2 linked regions of the Schizosaccharomyces pombe genome follow. Changing the gene in region 1 together with any one later gene gives a genetic interaction. Each region holds a gene or a part of one and is shown in the gene's direction. Other genes may lie near its edges.

Region 1 (3,590 bases):
AAAGAAGCTGAAATGTCCGCGGAATTCAATTATCGGTTTTGTATTGGAGGCTGTGATAGATCCGCATATGTGCCTGTAGTAGCAGGTGGAAAAGTAAGTAATCAATTCCTGAAAATGCTGAATGCTATTACTTTAAGCTTTATTAACAAAGAAGAATGGCTTGACTATCCATTACACAATTAATAATGATATATTCCGTCCTGACGAAATGGTTTTGGTAGACGCTGGCGGTGTAAGTGCCTTCAATTTTTTGTCAATTAACACTTGCTTAACAGGAATTCGGTGGTTATGTAACAGATATCTCGAGGACTTGGCCCATCAACGGCAAATTTAGTACTGTACAAAGGGATTTATATCAAGCAGTTCTGAATGTGCAAAAGAAATGTATTAAGTATTGTTGCACCAGTAATGGCTGGAGCTTGGCTGATATTCACTTTGAAAGTGTTAAATTAATGCATGAAGAATTGAAGCAGGTCGGCATTCATGGAACTAAACGGGTAAGTTTGCTACTTCGCAAAATATTCGTACTAACTTCCTTGGCTATAGGAGATTACAGATATATTGTATCCGCATTCAATTGGGCATGAGATTGGACTAGAGATTCACGATTGTTCTACGAATAATGGTTACCAACCGTTGCGCAAAAACCAAGTTGTAAGTTGAAGTTCTTTTCAGATTATTTGCTAAACGGGGTTTAGATTACCATAGAACCCGGACTATATGTTCCAGAAGAAGACGGATGGCCTCAATGGGCTCAAGGAATAGCTATTCGAATTGAAGATAGCGTAATCGTTGGTGATGACAAGCCGTTCGTATTAACTAGTGCTGCTCCAAAAGAAATTGAAGAAATTGAAGCTTTGAAAAAGTAGAGATTGTGTTACCTATTGACTAAGAATTAGGACTACATCTGACTATCGTAGAATAAAAGACATTATTTTTGGACTAAGTTTCTTAGAAGTAAGATTGAAGGGAAAAAAATCTATATATACTGTTAAATTTTAATCATTACACGAATTTTTTTTTAATATTTTATTGAAAAGTCAACGTCAAAAATAAACATTAGTTTAGAGAAACAAGAAACGTTTTCAAAATAGTTCTGGCATTCGAAGTGTATGATTCCTCTGACTTCGACAGTATTTGCTCAATTCCTTGAAGACTTGACTCGATTTCCACTTTTCAGGTGCTTCCCTTTCTCCTGAACACCAGTATAGACTAAAAATTGGACGTTAAAATAGCGCACATTAAGTATATCAAGTTCATTTACTTACATATCCCAATCGGGCTCATCTAATAATTGATCATACTCTCGCAGAAGAGATACTGGATATTTATCAATCTGATCTTTGGCGAAATTAGATAAAAGCAAATCCGTTTCCAATATTCCCCGTTTTCTAGATTGATATTTAAGTCTTGCCAACATTGCGTCTCTAGTCTCGTAAGAGCGATTCACCCTTTTTAAATCACCTTTGGTATGCTCGAAGCGAAGTTGAGGCATTCTATTCATACATCTTGCACTTCTTAGAAGCGTCGTGATATTAGATAAGTTTGTCTTCCTTAACATTGTTGATATTTTCAAATGAACAACTAAGCGATTAACCAGACGACCTCCGAGGCTATATTTACTTATATATGAATAAAAAGAAAAAAAAATTAGGTTATAGCTCCTTTTTTTGGAAGATTTGGTAGACTATACAACTCTTTGGTGATAGTTTTGCGGCATTGTCTTCACCATCCGTATTCGTTTCTTACCATTCACCATTGTCCGCACCACATTATAGAAATTTCGAAAGATGGAAAAGGAGGCAATTTACAAACTCATTAGAGAATCTCCTCCAGGAGAAGTTAATCAAGTAGTTCATGGTTTGTTAAAGTGCTGAATACCTCAACATTCTAATGCATATAATAGATATACGCGACATCGGTCTAAGTGATGAGGAAGCAATTCACGAACAACTGAAGCTTTATCATGAAGACTACAACTCTTCTGTCAGCATATCGGATGACGAAAAAGTAATTATTTCAGCTGATAATCGTCTAGAGGGCAATCGCTATTATGATCAAGTTTTACAGAAATCATTTACCATTAATTATGAAACTATGGTAAGGTTAAATTTTTCAAATCTTTTTTTTGTGATAATTGTTAAATAGCTAACAGTATTCATAGGAAGCTGAAAACGTTGAAGATTATACCGAAGCCATAAAAATTCCCGATGAAATAGTAAAGCAAATTAAAAAGGTTGCTTCGGATCACTATCTATCTGATGTAACATTTGGAATCATCAAAAAAAGCGATGAAGTGGAATCGTTTACAATTGTTTTGGTTTCTTCAAAGTATAATCCCAAGAACTATTGGAACGGTTCGTGGCGCTGTATATGCAATTACAACGTTTCGGAAAAGAAACTGGAAGGCAGGTCGCATATTCGTGTTCATTACTATGAAGACGGAAATGTTTGGTTGGATGCATCCCGTCCTATTTCTGCTACAGTCGAGGAGACCAGTAAGCTTTATGAAGTGTTGGCTCAAGTCGAAAATGGAATTCAACAGTCCTTCAACGTTGAACTTTCTTCACTTAATGACAAAAAGTTTAAAGAATTGCGTCGTCAACTTCCAGTCACTCGCCAGAAAATTAATTGGGAAAACGTTAGTGGCATCCGTATGAGAAATACTTGAAACACTTATATGTGTTTATAAATTTTGGAAATTTTTTTGCGACGATATTTTTTAAGACGGTGATTCAAGCTGTTTCCTTTTCCTTCTTCCTAAATACATATACATTGTCGCTCGATATACGACTAATAATTACTAGTCGTTTACTTTCTAAAACTTTACAAGAGCAACTCACACGCTCTTTTCTTAAACTCTTATAAGTTTTAGGAAATTATTTTTTTACGATCAATAATACAAGTTCTTCATCATTTTTTTACCGCTCGTCACCAGTAATTTAAGGGCGTATTACTTTTTGTGTGTAAGCATCAGTCGTGCTATTTATCACCAGAATATGCTCTGAGCATCTGACTTTCACCTCTGACTTTGTGATAATATAAATAAATAATGAGGCATTATTAAATCACAAATCTTGTATCTCTAATTAACATTGATTTCATGGTTCAAGCAGCAATTAAAGCTTGAACTTGTGTAGACAGTTTGAGATAATATCACTTCTAAAATTAAACCCAAAAGTAGGTATTCCAACTAACTTATCGTTTTCTTCCGACAAGACTGGAATAGTAAACCTGATATGGCCCGGAACTTGTATACAAAATTTAAGAAACTCTTCCTTACTCAAAAATCCCTTCAATGAATTTAGATCTTTGGAAAGCAACGGTCTAAGTATAAGTGTAGTCTGTGTATTTTTGCAACTGTACTTTATCCAAAACCTGTGATCCCATAAAACATAACGATCAGGATTTATGGTTATAGTTTTTTTTTTCAATTCAGCTTTACTAAATGGTTGTCTGGAAATTTGGAGTTGTAATTTAGTGTCGTCCTTTATAGAAGAGGAAGTGAGTAGACATTTAGCAATTGTTAGCTTTTTTCCATCAAAAACTGAATTACAAAGGCTTACAACAGAAGATCGTTTAATCTGTCT
Region 2 (4,557 bases), 3.6 Mb from region 1:
CAGGTGTAGCACGTGAAATTTTGCGTCGCCTTGTAGTTTGTTACTTCCAACTAGACACATGTATTTTTTGTTGTTTGACTTGAAATAGGGTCAGGTATTCAATTTTCCGTATGCAGTGATGAGTGCTGTTGATGAATGGGTACATAATGCCAATGAATGCATAGAAATTGTACAAGGTATGCTATGTTAAATTATAATGTTTTTACCTTGTGTTAACACCTGTCAGTAAACGAAAAGCATGAAAAAGATTGTCAATACCATCCTAGCAATACATATGCAATATTTGGAGATGCTGAGGTTATTTATGGATATAAAGATCTAAATGTCACTGTAAGATTAAATCAGCAAGTTTTAGTCATGAAATTTGATTGCAAATAGTAACAGTTATTAGATAACCTATGAATGCCCATTGATGGTCCCAAAACTGGAAATCTCATATTCAGAGCGCCTAGCACCAGATTCAGGAGTGGAACCAACTGATATTGAAGGAACATTAAACACTTATCTAAAAGATCGTTCCATTAAGGTTGAAGGAAACTCATTTGACGTTCATTCGGCAAATAGTATTCATAACTATTCCTTTAATGGAAAAACATTCAAGATTTTACAAGTATGTTCGATTACCTTTCAATTGGAGAAGTATTCAATTATTGAATATCCCTATATGTTCTTTGGCTAATAATCGTAATGTATTAATAGGCAACGGTTCTTGAAGCTAGTGAGATTATGCAGCATTTGCAAATATTTTCCTTATTTTTTATTGAAGGGGGCTCTTTTATTGACCTTAATGATCCAAGATGGATGGTATATTTACTGTAAGTTTGTTATTTTCTACGCGTCTACTTTCCTTTTACCTTTTTATCGAGGTTTTATTAACAAAAATAAGTTACGAGACTACTGAAGATGATTATTGCTTACGTGGTTATTGTACTGTATACAAATATTATAAATGGGACAAATTAATTCACGATGGTATTCGAGCTCGTATCTCACAATTCGTGATTTTACCCCCTTTTCAACATCAAGGACACGGTTCGCAATTGTACAATGCTATTGTTAGTACCTTTTTGAAAAATCCTAAAATTTTAGACTTCACAGTTGAGGATGCATCGGAAGCGTTTGATAGCCTTAGAGACCATTGCGACTATAAAAGATTATTATCAATGGGAATATTTTCAGAACCTGACTTTCATCCCTCTCTTTCTAGGCAGTGGATAAACTCGAAAATAGCTGAAACAAAGTTAACCCAGGTTCGTAATTTGCTAAATTTACCATGCAATGCAACTTACTAATTGTCTTTTTTTAGCGTCAATTCTCACGCTGTTGTGAATTAGCATTTACAACGAAACTAAAAAAGCTTTCATTATTGGAGCGGAAATCTGTTAGACTAGGAATAAAGGAAAGGATTTTTCGTCAAAATCTTGATGTGTTGCTACAGTTGGATAAGTCCGAACGTATTGAAAAAATTCATAACGCCTATGAAAATCAGTTTGATGAGTATAAACAGATTGTCAAAAAGCTACCCAAGCTTAAGGAAGATTCGCCTCGAAAACGCCAAAAACTTGCTCAATCTTCTTCCTAAATGAAAACACTTTTAGAGATCTGAAATACTTTGAGAATATTGAAGGCATATTAGCATAAAAAGTTATGAGAATCGACTAAATTACACTATTGGACGCAATTACTTTTTATATAATTTGCTTTTGAAAGCTTTCGCTTGAAATGATTAAAGACATTTGAAACAGTGATCATTTTAATAATATAAATTTTGTATATATTTTGCAAATTTAGTGTGATATCTAGTTTAATAAAATCTATAAAGGCACCTTATAAAAATTCAAACAATTCCTCATAATGAACTGCTTTTTCCAAAATTTAAATATTTTAATATCTACTATCAATAATATTGGTTATTTTCAACGACCAGTACAACTTTAGGTGCTTGTCATTCTCATCCGTCCTCCTTCCTATTCCGATCCCGACTTTGTTCATTACCTGACACCCCGGATAAAGTTAGCTCAATTAGCAAATTCTCATTCGATCTTATAAAGGAATTATTCTTTTTCAAAAATGAGTGGAAGATTTGTGAGAGCTAGTAAATATAGTACGCATGCTTTTTGAGTAAATAATTATTAACTGACGTTAGGACATATCTTTGGACAAACCTGCAAAAAAGAACTTTGCTACGACAACATAAAGGTTGGTCGATACTTTAATGGTTTGAAATTTACTAATTGTCTTCAATAGCTTAGCAATAATGCATGGGATTCTAACCTATTGAGTGTGAACCCCTTTTACCTCAGTGTTAATTGGAATGCGGGAGCTGGAGGTGCATTGGCAGTTATCCCTTTAAACGAAAGAGGAAAGCTTCCCGATCAAGTTAATTTGTTTCGGGGCCATACTGCGGCTGTTTTAGATACTGATTGGAATCCCTTCCATGATCAAGTATTAGCATCCGGCGGTGATGATTCTAAGGTATCCTGCTATTTGACTTTATTTATGTATTAACGAATTAGATTATGATATGGAAAGTACCAGAAGATTATACTGTTATGGAGCCTTATGAAGATGTTCATCCAATTGCTGAATTAAAGGGCCATAGCCGGTATGTCGTACATTGCATTAGGGTTTTAGTTACTGACTTTTTTGTATAGTAAAGTTGGTCTTGTTCAATATCATCCCACTGCAGCGAATGTTTTGGCATCTTCTAGTGCAGACAATACTATCAAGTTGTGGGATTGTGAGAAGGGTGTAGCCCATGTATCTCTGAAAATGGATGTAATGTGCCAGTCTATGTCGTTCAACGCTGATGGTACCAGACTTGTAACAACTTCTCGAGATAAGAAAGTTCGCGTCTGGGACCCTCGTACTGATAAACCAGTCTCCGTTGGAAATGGTCATGCAGGTGCTAAAAATCCCCGTGTCGTTTGGCTCGGGAGCCTTGATCGTTTTGCTACAACTGGTTTCAGTAAAATGAGTGATCGTCAAATCGCTTTATGGGACCCTACCAATCTGTCTGAACCGATAGGTGGTTTTACCACATTAGACACCGGTTCGGGAATCCTTATGCCATTCTGGGATGATGGAACAAAGGTAATATATCTAGCAGGTAAAGGTGATGGTAATATTCGCTATTACGAATATGAAAACGATGTTTTCCATTATTTATCTGAATTCAAGTCCGTTGATCCCCAACGAGGCATTGCCTTTTTGCCAAAACGCGGAGTTAATGTTTCTGAAAACGAAGTTATGCGTGCTTATAAGTCCGTGAACGATTCTATCATTGAACCTATAAGTTTCATCGTTCCTCGCCGATCTGAAAGTTTCCAAAGCGATATTTACCCTCCAGCCCCATCTGGTAAACCAAGCTTAACAGCTGAAGAATGGGCCAGTGGGAAAGATGCTCAGCCTGATCTTTTAGATATGTCTACTTTGTATGAGTCTAAAGGTACTGTTGAAAAGGCTGTTTCCGCTACAGTACCCTCAGCTGGTGCTCAGGTACAAAAACATAACGAAGAGAAGGTTGAGACACCAAAGCCCGAAGCTCAGCCAGTTAGCAAGCCGAAAGAATCGGCGGAAGAACAAAAGCCTTCCAAAGAGCCGGAGGTGAAACCAACTACTCCTTCGGCATCAAAAGTAGAAGAACCATCGAAGAAACGTGATGAGGATAATCATCAGAAAGAAGAAACTGTAACCCAGCCCAAGCGTGAGAAAACACCTGTTGAAAAATCTTTTCCGAAACCAGCTAGTAGCCCTGTTACCTTTTCAGAAGATGTAAAGAAAGAACCATCAGAGGAAAAGAAATTGGAAGTTTCTGACGAAGCACCCAAAGCTGCTCCTCTTGCCGAAAGTAAGAAAGTTGAAGAGAAAGAACCCTTTTATGTTTCAAAAGATAAGAAAGATATTTCAGCAGTCAATCTGGCCGATCTCAATAAACGTTTCGAAGGTTTTGAGAAACGATATGAGGAAGAACTCGCAATCCGAGACTGGAAAATTGCCCAATTGGAGGATAAGCTGGCTAAATTAACAGAAGCAATTAAAGAAAAATGTAATTAAGTTTTTTTGTGCATTTTTTATTTTGTCCAGAATGCTTTTTTAAACATATCACTAAGCCCGGACATCATGCCTTCTCCATCTCACCTCCGTACCTTACTACCTCAATATTTACAAATGTAGGAAAAGATATGGAAAGTCGTTCAAAAGTTAAAACTTATGGAAAGAACCGTAGATATATTAATAAAGATATTGAAATTTGGGCTTCTTTAGATGAACGGCCTTGTGCTTTGAAACCTCGGAACATTGAAAATTTTAATAACCAAGAAAGAAGTGACCTTGAGCATATTCACTCTAAACCGAAAAAAGATTCATTATTATCTTGGAACATTCTCTTAAAAAAAGGTTCATACAAAGAAAATGAGTTATTGGCGAAACGAAATCAAAACCTGGTACCTACTGTCATAATACCGGCTTCTCCTCGGGATAATGCATCAAAGTCGGTAGTCAGTAAAAAAGAGGTTGTAAATTTGTCATCTTCTGTTGCTTTATCCGGAAAACCCG

What was found.
Region 2: mutations in acp1 (region 1) and crn1 impair growth when combined (synthetic growth defect), as found in Schizosaccharomyces pombe (2 studies listed by BioGRID, with this or other methods).

The regions. Positions count from the first base shown.
Region 1 is NC_003424.3:4,583,465-4,587,054, forward strand, and holds acp1 (F-actin-capping protein alpha subunit), read left to right. Parts: upstream 1-1,750; 5' UTR 1,751-1,790; coding exon 1,791-1,860; intron 1,861-1,906; coding exon 1,907-2,100; intron 2,101-2,164; coding exon 2,165-2,671; 3' UTR 2,672-3,072; downstream 3,073-3,590. Other genes in the region: peptidase Icp55, read left to right, coding at 1-93, 155-232, 276-497, 547-654, 699-869; succinate dehydrogenase subunit Emi5, read right to left, coding at 1,086-1,212, 1,269-1,561; til1 (tRNA(Ile)-lysidine synthetase family protein), read right to left, coding at 3,120-3,590. UniProt on the Schizosaccharomyces pombe protein: F-actin-capping proteins bind in a Ca(2+)-independent manner to the fast growing ends of actin filaments (barbed end) thereby blocking the exchange of subunits at these ends.
Region 2 is NC_003424.3:1,030,112-1,034,668, forward strand, and holds crn1 (coronin Crn1), read left to right. Parts: upstream 1-1,993; 5' UTR 1,994-2,070; coding exon 2,071-2,104; exon of another isoform or gene 2,105-2,146; coding exon 2,147-2,199; exon of another isoform or gene 2,200-2,247; coding exon 2,248-2,475; exon of another isoform or gene 2,476-2,516; coding exon 2,517-2,605; exon of another isoform or gene 2,606-2,654; coding exon 2,655-4,056; downstream 4,057-4,557. Other genes in the region: histone acetyltransferase Hat1, read left to right, coding at 119-176, 227-330, 392-610, 700-815, 887-1,250, 1,307-1,582; haspin-like kinase Hrk1, read left to right, coding at 4,185-4,557.